Linked DNA regions of Danio rerio. The protein of the gene in region 2 purifies or fractionates together with the protein of the main gene of each other region. This does not show direct contact. Links are inferred from orthologs where the notes say so. Each region holds a gene or a part of one and is shown on either strand. Other genes may lie near its edges.

Evidence for each region.
Region 1: the proteins of rpa2 (region 2) and hltf purify together in Homo sapiens (affinity purification with mass spectrometry, with the first as the bait; 3 studies listed by BioGRID). This does not show direct contact. The link is inferred for Danio rerio from reciprocal best matches to the Homo sapiens genes RPA2 and HLTF.
Region 3: the proteins of rpa2 (region 2) and atrip purify together in Homo sapiens (affinity purification with western blotting; 5 studies listed by BioGRID, with this or other methods). This does not show direct contact. The link is inferred for Danio rerio from reciprocal best matches to the Homo sapiens genes RPA2 and ATRIP.

Annotation. Positions count from the first base shown.
Region 1 is NC_133177.1:28,293,205-28,296,965, forward strand, and holds the start of hltf (helicase-like transcription factor), read right to left. Parts: upstream 2,470-3,761; 5' UTR 2,315-2,469; intron 2,128-2,314; exon of another isoform or gene 2,085-2,127; 5' UTR 2,083-2,084; coding exon 2,031-2,082; intron 1,868-2,030; coding exon 1,710-1,867; intron 1-1,709. UniProt on the Homo sapiens protein: Has both helicase and E3 ubiquitin ligase activities. Possesses intrinsic ATP-dependent nucleosome-remodeling activity; This activity may be required for transcriptional activation or repression of specific target promoters.
Region 2 is NC_133191.1:4,960,544-4,964,204, forward strand, and holds part of rpa2 (replication protein A 32 kDa subunit), read right to left. Parts: intron 2,845-3,661; coding exon 2,728-2,844; intron 1,431-2,727; coding exon 1,311-1,430; intron 1-1,310. UniProt on the Homo sapiens protein: As part of the heterotrimeric replication protein A complex (RPA/RP-A), binds and stabilizes single-stranded DNA intermediates that form during DNA replication or upon DNA stress.
Region 3 is NC_133197.1:10,190,882-10,194,642, reverse strand, and holds the start of atrip (ATR-interacting protein), read right to left. Parts: upstream 2,421-3,761; 5' UTR 2,224-2,420; intron 578-2,223; exon of another isoform or gene 575-577; 5' UTR 563-574; coding exon 262-562; intron 1-261. UniProt on the Homo sapiens protein: Required for checkpoint signaling after DNA damage. Required for ATR expression, possibly by stabilizing the protein.

The DNA of each region.
Region 1 (3,761 bases), on a different chromosome or scaffold from region 2:
ACATATAATTCTGATTTTGTTTTATCAATCGTTGTAACTTTATGCAAGGGGAACCTGACACAAGATGTACTTAGCTCGATGCCAACCCTTTTATAGATGAATTAATAGTCAAATTTTAAGAAAAAAATCATGTTATGAAAAGGTTACAAAATGTTCTCAGATTAACAGGAAAGTTCACCCAGAAATTAATTCTGTCATCATTTACTCAACTTCACTTGTTCCATAGCTTGTTTGAGTTTCTTCTGTTTAATAGAAAAGATACACTGAACACTTATTAACTTTCATAGAATGCTTTGATTCTATTATGGATGTAAGTGGCTGCCTTTTTTTCAACGTTCTTAAATCTTAATTTGTGTTCATCAGAAGAAATGTACAAATTCTTAAAACCACCTAAGTAAAAGAAAAGGGTGAGGAAATGTTTATTTTTGGGTGAACTATCATTTTAATATATGTTTTTTTTTTCTGTTTCCACTTGCAGATTGTGTGGTTAATGTTAAAATAGACTGATACACTATCAAAAATAATTATATTAATTATAATTATTGCTAACTCATGGAATCTTATTGTAAAGTAGGGCTGCACAATATTAGAAAAATCTGATATTGCAATTTTCTTTTTTTTTGCAATAAATATTGCGATATGAATATTTTCTGGGGAGTCTAGCATTATTCAGGTACAGAAATTAAACAATCAAAATGCAAAAAAAATGCTTTTCTTAATTTGCTTTGTCTCATTTCTAGTCCAAATATCTAAAAATATTTAAATTAAGTAAATAATATTGTTTTGTTTTCAACTTCAGAAGAAATAATGAGTTCTTCCTCAAAACAAGACAATTATCTGCCATTGAAACCATTGAGGTGAATAAAACAATCTTATTTTCTTGCTTTAAAATGTGGATAATTTGGAAAACAAGAAACAAGACAAAAATTCTAAGTGAGAAATTTTTTTTCTTTTTTGCATAAATTACTTATAAATACAGTAATTAAATACAATTCTGTAGCTCTTGGTCAACTATAATTCAGACTCAAAATTGTATATATTGCGATGTGACTATTGCGGATGTGCACATTGCGATATCGTTGCTGAAGCGACATATTGTGCAGTTCTATTGTAACAACTACCCAAAATTCTTGCAAGCAGGAATTGTCCAAGAACAAATAAATACATTTAAAAAGTGGAATATTTGCTTTATAGACAGAACCAGACAAAATGGTGTTAACATAATAATAACAATAATATAATAACTTGTAAATAACTTGTAATAAAATGATTACATGTAAACATGTAAAGTGATAATCCTATTAAAAGCCTATTATCAAATACTGTATAATTTCATGGTAGTGGGATTATTAAATATATCAGTGTTTTTGTTTTTTTGTACAGATATCTGGACACACAAATCTGCATTGAGGTAAAGTTGGTTTTATATTTGTACATTCGAACTTTCTTCTCAGTAATATAATTTCAGAAAACTATTCTTTGCAAATTCTTAACAGGGAAATTATATTAGCAGCCAATGACTATTAAAGTCCACTGTTGACAGTCAGTTAAATGGTGCTGTTTTGAAGTCATTCTTGCATGATATTTCAGACCGAATATTCAAAGCGTTAAGTTTTCACTGCTTAAAAATGAACAAATGTACAAATATAAAACCAACTTAACCGCAACCAAATATGCTTTGATTTATTGTAAAATGCAACAATTCATACCGCTCCAGTGTAGTATCGCAAACCAACAATTAAGCCTTGAATTGAACCAAACAGAACATTCCCCTCTGCCTCCAGCTCCTGTCCTGCATCTTCTGTTAAATTGGCAAGTTCTTGTGATAAGGTCATTGTGCTGCCCACGTCCATAAAATCTATGAAAGCTAATGGTGGATGACAAACAAGAAAACGTATATTAAACTTCTGTTCAAACATAATGGGAAAAGTTTTTCAGTGTAACGTTAATTAATGTAATTTAGCATATAGTTGGGACCACTGATATGATAAATTAATATTCTCATATGTAGATATTTGTGTTTTTATCACCGTATCTTGGCGGGGTGCTGCTGGAGGCTGTTGAGCTGCTTGATGACTGCATGTCTGCAAATCACAACATAAACACCAAACTTCACTGAACCACGTCCTAACAACAAAAGCAACAGACAACAAACAATTAAAGAGCAAAGCCAATGTACCATAAAGCAGAATCAAGATACCAGTTACTTAACTTTACATATAATTCACAGTAAAACGTCTCCATTCAGCTAGAATGCCAAGCAAAGCTGTTATCGTGGATTAAGTTAAAATGATGAGCTGCAGGCCACACCCACCTCTCGAGCAAAGAGTCCTTTTCAGTAATATCTGACTGTAAATGAGGCCAACTGTAAATACTGCATGGGCGATGAATATCGCTGCGTTCACGGGTTTATTGTAGGTCAGTTATCTAATTCTGAATACAAGTCTCGCTTTCGTGACGCCAGTGAGTGGCGCGAGTGTTTTGAAACCACACGTCTATTTTCGGCGCCAGCAGTCATTCTACGTCATTGTCACATGAACCAATCAGGACCGACTGGTGGCGGTAAAACAAACTCAACAAAAGTCTTGTAAACATTGTTAATAATCTCTTTATTATTTATTGATAACATATCGCATACACAAACAAAAAAATGCTAAGTCATCTCTCACATTAATTGTTTTTTTTGTATCGATTTTTTGTATCGAACTGTTTTTTGTATCGAAAACAATATATTTATTTTTATTTACATTCGTTTATTTTGTAACATTGTTATATTCGTTTTTTTTATGAACACCTTTTATATTGTTTTGTATGTATGTTCCTCATGGTTTGTGCAATAATAATAAAAATCCCTCAAGGTTTACTCACCCGCCAAAAGAGAGAGAGAGAGAGAGAGAGAGAGAGAGAGAGAGAGAGAGAGAGAATGGCGGCGGTCGTCAATACAGAAATCCTTTGAATATTATTATTTTTTTAGTTTACTGATAATTGCACCATTTGTAAAAATGAGTGTGAAGACATTTGTCACTTGTTATTTCATACAATGTATCATCATTGTATTGGTATTGTACAGTAGCTTAAGTTCATATTACTTTTCCGATGTTAAAATGAGTTGTAATTTGCACCTCAAGGATGGTATTTGTTAATTTCGAAAATCAAAACAAGTCGTTGAAAGCCACTATAAATTTTCATTCTATACTTGCTAGGAAATTTTACTTTCACAAACAGAGGTTTCGTTAAAAAAACACAAACTCTTACAGACTTCTTATGTGAAATAGAACATTTAATAAATTCAATTAGATTGATTGATAATAAGAAATGTACTTCTTTTTTGCGTAAACATGATGAAATCTTTCATGCTTGATTTTTTATCTTTTTATTGCATTATTATTATTATTTTTATCTACTTAATTTTTGGTTTTGCTCTTAATACTGTTCATCTAGTGTTGATATTGTAAGAACTATTGTCTTTTCCTGTAGTCTATATAATATGCAGTTTCTTGATGTCACTAATAATAATAATATTAATAATAATAAAATGACAATTTATTTAATAATAATAATAATAATATTTTTATGATTTCTAAATACTACTAATACTAATACATATTTTCCCTTCATATTTATTTTTTCTTATAAGTAATTATTGTTTTACAAAGAAATTTAGATTTATAATTTTTTCTATTAACATAATGACTTTTATTTATTACGTATTTAATTGATTTATTTTATGATTTATTACTTATTTGCTTTGATTAATTTTA
Region 2 (3,661 bases):
TTAAACACTAGCCTAGAGCACCATCAGCTGTTGAACACTAGCCTAGAGCGGCATCTGCTATTAAACACTAGCCTAGAGCACCATTAGCTGTTGAACACTAGCCTAGAGCGGCATCTGCTGTTAAACACTAGCCTAGAGCGGCATCTGCTGTTAAACACTAGCCTAGAGCACCATCAGCTGTTGAACACTAGTCTAGAGCGGCATCTGCTATTAAACACTAGCCTAGAGCACCATTAGCTGTTGAAGACTAGCCTAGAGCGGCATCTGCTGTTAAACACTAGCTCAGACTACCATCAGCTGTTAAACACTAGCCTAGAGCACTATAAGCTGTTAAACACTAGCCTAGACTACCATCAGCTGTTAAACACTAGCCTAGAGCACTATAAGCTGTTAAACACTAGCCTAGACTACCATCAGCTGTTAAACACTAGCCTAGAGCACTATAAGCTGTTAAACACTAGCCTAGAGCAGGGCCGGAGTGGGACTCCTTTTCAGACCTGGAGTTTCAAGCCCAAGACCTGCCCACCTCAGTTCACGACTGACTACAGTATATTAAAATAACGTCATTTCCAATTCAGTTTCTAATGACACTATCATGTCTTTTTAAAGAAAACAGCTGCTTTAAAACTTCAAATGTTTATCAACCCTAACAATATAATATGTCTTAACAATAAAAATGACAGAAAAAAAAAAAAAATATATATATATATATATATATATATATATATATATATATATATTCAAGACCTGCAAGACTCTTAACCACAGTATTGCTTTCTATTGATGGTTTAATCTTTTTCTCCCCATTTTAGATTTCTGATCAAGTTATGTTGGATATATTAATGTAGTGAATCATCTGATTTTCATTGAGCAGGTGTAATATTCATTAATATTAATTATTCAAATTCTTATTTTCACTATAAGTGCCGCTGTTTGGGGTTGAATGATAGTTACATCATCATTACCCTGCAGGCTGCATTCTGCTCACGGTGCTGCGAGAAAATAAATAAGAAGAGCGGAGCTGCAGCAAAATAATGAATCAAAAGAATGAGGCTATGGTCAAATAAATAAATAAATGAAAAAAGTGCGACTGCTGAGAGTGCAAGCAGCTAGGGACAACGGCCCTCATGGTCAAAAAACGTCTCCTGGTCCTCCCAATTAGCCAATCCGGGCCAGGCCTAGAGTGCCCTCTGCTGTTCAAAACTAGCTTAGAGCACCTTTGGTTAAACAGAAAGTGCAACCCATAACTGCAAATATAATATATAAAGGTGGAAGATGTGAATACAAATATGTTTGTAATGTTTACTCACTTGGTTCTGGTTGGCACTCAAGCCATTGACTAGCATCATGTTAGCACCAGAATAGCCTCCTGTGGTGCCCATACTATTCATGCTGGTATGAGACACTGGCATCATCCCTCCACCACCTCCCTATAAAGACACAACACATTATATTACATTATAAGAACAGTTATTGTGACCCCTGTCATGTTTCCATTATATTAACCACACAGAAATAGTGTCAGATTGATTTTACAGTACCATAGCAAACTTTGCCACCTTTATGAACTGCTATACATTAAAATAAAATGTTTTTTATTTTAATTTTAAATATCTATCTTTTTAAATCATATACAACTGAACATTGATGATGATCTCCAAGTCTCCAAAGTTAAACCAATAATAGACTTGTGCAGTAAACATTGCACCCACCAGCCATATTAGATGAGGTTGATATTAAAGACTAATTAATAAATGACAAATAATAAATATTAAATGGTTGTTAGACTGTTTATGTTGTCAATGTGCTTGTGTTTATTTAGGCCTATTGGTGTATGTGCACTGTTTGTATGTTTAGAACCACTTTCGGAGATGGCGGGGGTCGTGAGTCACTGAAATTGTTATTTTGGGGGGTCAGGCTGAAAAATTTGGGAACTGTACTTTTGTTAAAAAAAAAAAAAAAAAAAAAAAATATATATATATATATATATATATATATATATATATATATATATATATATATATATAAAAATAAATATATATATATTTTTTTTTTATCATAGTGTTCCCTTTCAAGCTAAAGAGAATTGGGATACCCCTTAAATTATGCATTTAATAAACGGATTCTTTATAAGGACTCAGAGCGGAAAAGGCTTGGGTGGTTTGTTATTTAAATATAGCAAATCATTCAAAAAAAAAAAACAATCAATTGTATTTAGCATGGCTGCACGGTGGCTCAGTGGTCAGCGCTGTCGCCTCACAATGTTGGCATTACTGTATGGAGTTTGCATGTTCTCCCTGTGTTAGCGTGGGTTTATTCCGTGTGCTCCGGTTTCCCCTACAGTCCAAAAACCTGCGCCATTAGTGAATTGAATAAACTAAATTGGCTGTAGTGTGTAAATGGGTATGTATGGGTGTTTCCCAGTACAGGGTTGCAGCTGGAAAGGAATCCCCTGCATAAAACATTGGTTATTAAAACTATTATGTTGAAAATGTAAATCATCTCCTTAATCACTTTGTCTTTAACTGTATATACAGATGCTGCATATTGTCTCATGACCCAAATATAACCAGTTGATAATTAATGCTTTGAAATTGAATCTACGATACACAAGGTTTGAACATGCTTGAATTCTGTGTTGAGTTTGTAACCATCAACCACTTTCTTTGCATTTTGTGCGAAAGAAAAGCAGAAGTGTAGCATGAGAAGGAGGTGCTGGAGTCTCACCATGTTCTGTGGTTTGCTCTGCTGGAGATGAGCGTTCACAACCTCCAGCATGTGCGATGTCACTTCATTCATGTCCTCCAGCACTCGAACGCTGAACGCCACCAAAGACCTGTTATTCTGCAAGGAGAATCAGAACTATTCGTGAAGGACAATCAGATTAAACCAGAACTAATACAGTTAAAGTGAATTGTGAATTTTGTTTTCTTTTTCAAGTGTTTCCCGAATGATGTGTAGCAGAGCAAGGGATTTATCACAGTATTTCCTGTAATATTTTATTGAGTCTTTTATAGATGTGTGTTAAAGAAAGGTTTAAATGTGTGCATGATTATTCCATAAATGCAATGTGTGTGTGCGTCATTTAAAACGTTAGCACCCATCAGCTTTAATCATGAATAAAACTGGATCATTTTGAGCGTTTGTCAGCTAATTTCAGCTTAAAATCATTATTGGGGCGGGATCAGAAATCGGTGACGTAGCACCAATCTGCCTGTCCAGTGATGATGCGTGAGTTTCTCATTATTATTTGTAGTGGAGTTTTCTTATCCTATGAGAAGACCCTGCTTCTTAATTATTAATACTGCATGTGCTTTCCGATGACAGACTAATACGGTCAGACCTGCCAAGCTGTGAGACGGCACACGGCAGTATTTAGGTGCTTATGAAGAGTGGCATGTGTTTGTTTCCATGATCCACACGGTTTGTTGCATGGTTTTCCTCTTATTCTGTCAAGGGCTGATACAGGCAACCTGTTTGTGTGCAGCAAGCATTTTTGTCAGAAGAGCTGTAGGAGAATTGGAGAATGACGGACTTTGTCTTTTATCAGTTGAGTTTGTTACCATTCAGACACATCGCCTATATCTGTGCTGCTGTGTTCGCACACATTTTAAATTCTCCAAATCACCTGCAGGACTAATGGTTGGAATAGACGGGGGAA
Region 3 (3,761 bases), on a different chromosome or scaffold from region 2:
GTAAATTCTGTGTGTGTATATATATATATATATATATATATATATATATATATATATATATATATATATATATATATATATATATATATATATATATATATAATAGCCCACTAACAAGACACAAAACAACAAACAAATATGTTAAATTGCTTCTTTAAACTGTCTCTAATTTTGTTTTTTAAATTAACAACAACAACTGCAAAAACCCAATGGGACATATAAAAACTTGTGTACAGTGCAACAGAAACATCCAGTACTGACCAGAAGGCTCTTTCCTTTGAGCGTGTGTGTTGTTGTAAGTGCTGCTGCTGCAGGCATCTCCAAGGGCGAATGTTTTCCGCCCGGACCTCACTGGAGCTTTGCTCGGTTCATCAGCGCAAGCGAGCACAGCGTCGAAAGATCTCTTAGAGCCGCTGTTCTGGACGTCTGCGCTGATGGCCTGAGACGCAATAATATCAATCTGCTCCAGATCATCCTGGGTGAAATCAATGTCATCGTCAAACGGGTCGGGTCCAGTCTTCACCTGAGGGCCCTTCAGTCTCTTGCTCGGGGGAAAGTCCATGTCAACGAGCTCCTGCTGGGAAATCAATAAAACCTTGTTAATGTTCAGCAAATAATTAGTGTAGTAAAGAAAATGTTTATGCCCCTTTTCACAAGATGATAGGTCTCTGACACCCCTAGAGCAGGAATGCCTAAACTCTGGTCCAGTGTCCTGCAGAGTTTAGTTCTATCCCCAATTAGACACACTTAAACCAGCTAATCAAGCTCTTTATACGTATACTGGAAACTTCCAAGCAGGTGTGTTGAAGGAAGTGTGAGCTAAACTATGCAGGTCACCGGCCCTCCAGGACCGGGTTTGGGCACCCCTGACCTAGAGCGTGTTAAATTTCAGCTCAAAATACCCCACTAATAATTCTTTTAAACTGCCCTTTTTAGACTTCGATCCAAATTGTGATATTTTGTTGACTGTTGCTTTAAATTCAAGTGAGATAGCCTTCTTTTCAATTGTGGGCAGAGCTGCAAATGCCTATGGTCATCTACGGTTTTCATTTGTGCATCCTAAAACACCACGTCTATATTACATCTATTGGCAGGTGACTGCTTATGACTCAGGACTGTCTTTGCAAATGAGGGACAGATCGTCACTAATGGAATGTCATTAAATTTGGAAAAATTTGGATAAATATGTCTTAAAGTGATTAAAACTTTAGTAAATTCACCTGTTTTATAATAAATAGTACTGCATAAGCTGTACAATGTTTGTTTATACATGACCACCACTATAAATGTACAGTTGAAGTCAGAATTATTAAACCCCCTGAATTATTAGCCCCTCTGTTTATTTTTGTTTAATGGAAGATTTTTCTTTAACACATTTCTTAACATAATAGTTTTAATAACTGATTTCTAACAGCTGATTCATTTTATCTTTGCCATGATGACAGCACATAATATTTTACTAGATATTTTTCAAGACACTTCTATACAGCTTAAAGTGACATTTAAAGGCTTAACTAGGTTAATCAGGCAGGTTAGGGTAATTAGGCAAGTTATTGTATAATGATGGTTTGTTCTGTAAACTATCGAAAAAATATATACCTTAAGGGGGCTAATAATTTTGATCTTAAATGTTTTTAAAAAATTAAAAACTGCTTTTATTCTAGCCTCATAACATCCAGGGTAACATGTCTATATGTATTACAATATAAATAAATGTTTAAACACACATTTCTATATTTATTAAAAACCTATCCATCTAATTATTTCAATTAAATAGACAAGCTTTTTGATTTAAACTGTAAATGTAACAATTAAAACAGTTCCAGGACAACGAATTCATTAATAATCTGCAAAAAATTATAGCAGAAAATAAATAATTTAGAAAAAAACATTAGACACATTATCTAACACTAGTTTTCGCAGTATAAATGTATTTTGCAACTACAAATATGTAGTTTACATTTTGGGTTTGGATGTCCGTGACATATAAAAGACTGCAAAACCCTGACATACAGTACGGTTCGTGCCAGTTCATTAATATCAAGCAGTTAGCATGTGACAATTTTAATACGATAACACTCACTTACTGGTCAAAAATCCAGTTATTTTTCAGCCTATAAAGTGTACATTACTACCGGACTAACAAACTAACACACAATGCTCTTCCAGACTCCAATTTTAACATGGTAAAGGTGTAGTAAAGTGCTCAAGTTTATCAGTCACCTGCTTGATTTACGCTCCTCAGATTCCTGCATAACCTGCAACTGCCCGTCAAATCACCGACATGACAAACCAAAAGTAAACACTCCAGATAAAGTGCAATTCTGAAATGTTTACATAAAAGTAGTTGACCAAACAAACAAATAACCGAAAAGAGGAAAAGTTGGAGGCATTTCTGAAGGTTCGGTATTCATTCAAGCGAGGAGGAGTGTCCATGCGGCCAGACGAAAGCGTACGCGGTAGTAAAACATCACCTGATTGGCTAAACCACTGCCATAGTGTGTAGCGGTGAGCTCTGATTCGTCAAAGGAGTAGCGCACGTATTACGGAGACACTCTTGCGACAAAATGCGTTTTGAACCATTCATTTTGATTCAGAAAACTTGCACAAAGCCGTGATTTGGAAGTTGTCTAAACATGTTCAACAAGATGTGTTTATAAAAGTTTGGGCTTGTTAAACGTTTTCTTCACCATTTAGCTTATACATACTCGTACCTGTAGTAAACATATCGCAAGGCTTCAAGATTGTATTATTTTAGTTTAAATGGAAAAATATGAGTTCACAACAAAACACTGACGCAGAGTAGTATGAGTAAGATTAAAAATATATTTACAAGGTGCACACACAAAATAAATAGTGTTTAGTGATATTTTTGATACATTTTAAGCAAAATCATCACTAAAAATCAGCAGGTACATTTTTATGTGATTACACCATATACGACAAAACTTTTGCAGTTATTATGAGCTAAGTTAGCATGCAGGTTATAACCAATTGTAATAATTGCGCTAAATAGCTGCGAAAGGCTTTATTTTTAACAAAAGATGTAAAAATGATATAGTTAGACTTCATAACATTGTTAGGCTACAGAAATAAACTAATAAAAGGTGAAATCTGTTTGCTGCTTTAAAGATTTGTCTACAGCTATTGTGTCAGATTTAGCATCTTCGCTATGAACAACATACTTTTTTATCTCACACAATGTGTGCATGTAACTACGGAGTGTTTTTGTTGCTGCTGTTTTAAGTTGGAACTATTATTATTTCAACTATTACGATTTATTGACGAGAACAAATGATTGTGTACATTTTTATGTGATCACAACAAGCAGATCTTTTTTATACGACAAAACCTTTGCAGTTAACAAATATGAGCTAAGTTAGCATGTTACAAACTGTAATAAGTGTGCTAAATATAGCTGCCTTACCTTAATTTATATAGACATAAAAAATATTTATAGGCTACAGTGTGCTAAGGTAAACAATACTATCTGCAGCTTTGTTCAGTAGTGTGTCTACAGATATTTAGCATCTTTGCTAATGTATCTATGAAAACATACTTTTTTATCTCGCACAATTCGTGCATGTTGTACGAGCATGTTGCATGTCGAGTGTTTTTGTTGTTGTTTTATTTAGGTTTTTTAAAGTAATTATTACAACATGCCCACAGTTTAGTAGAGATCACTTGAAACAAATGAGTAAAACGTGCAGATATATTAGTAAATTGTGGGAATGAATGAGTCCACTTGTGGCCATAATATG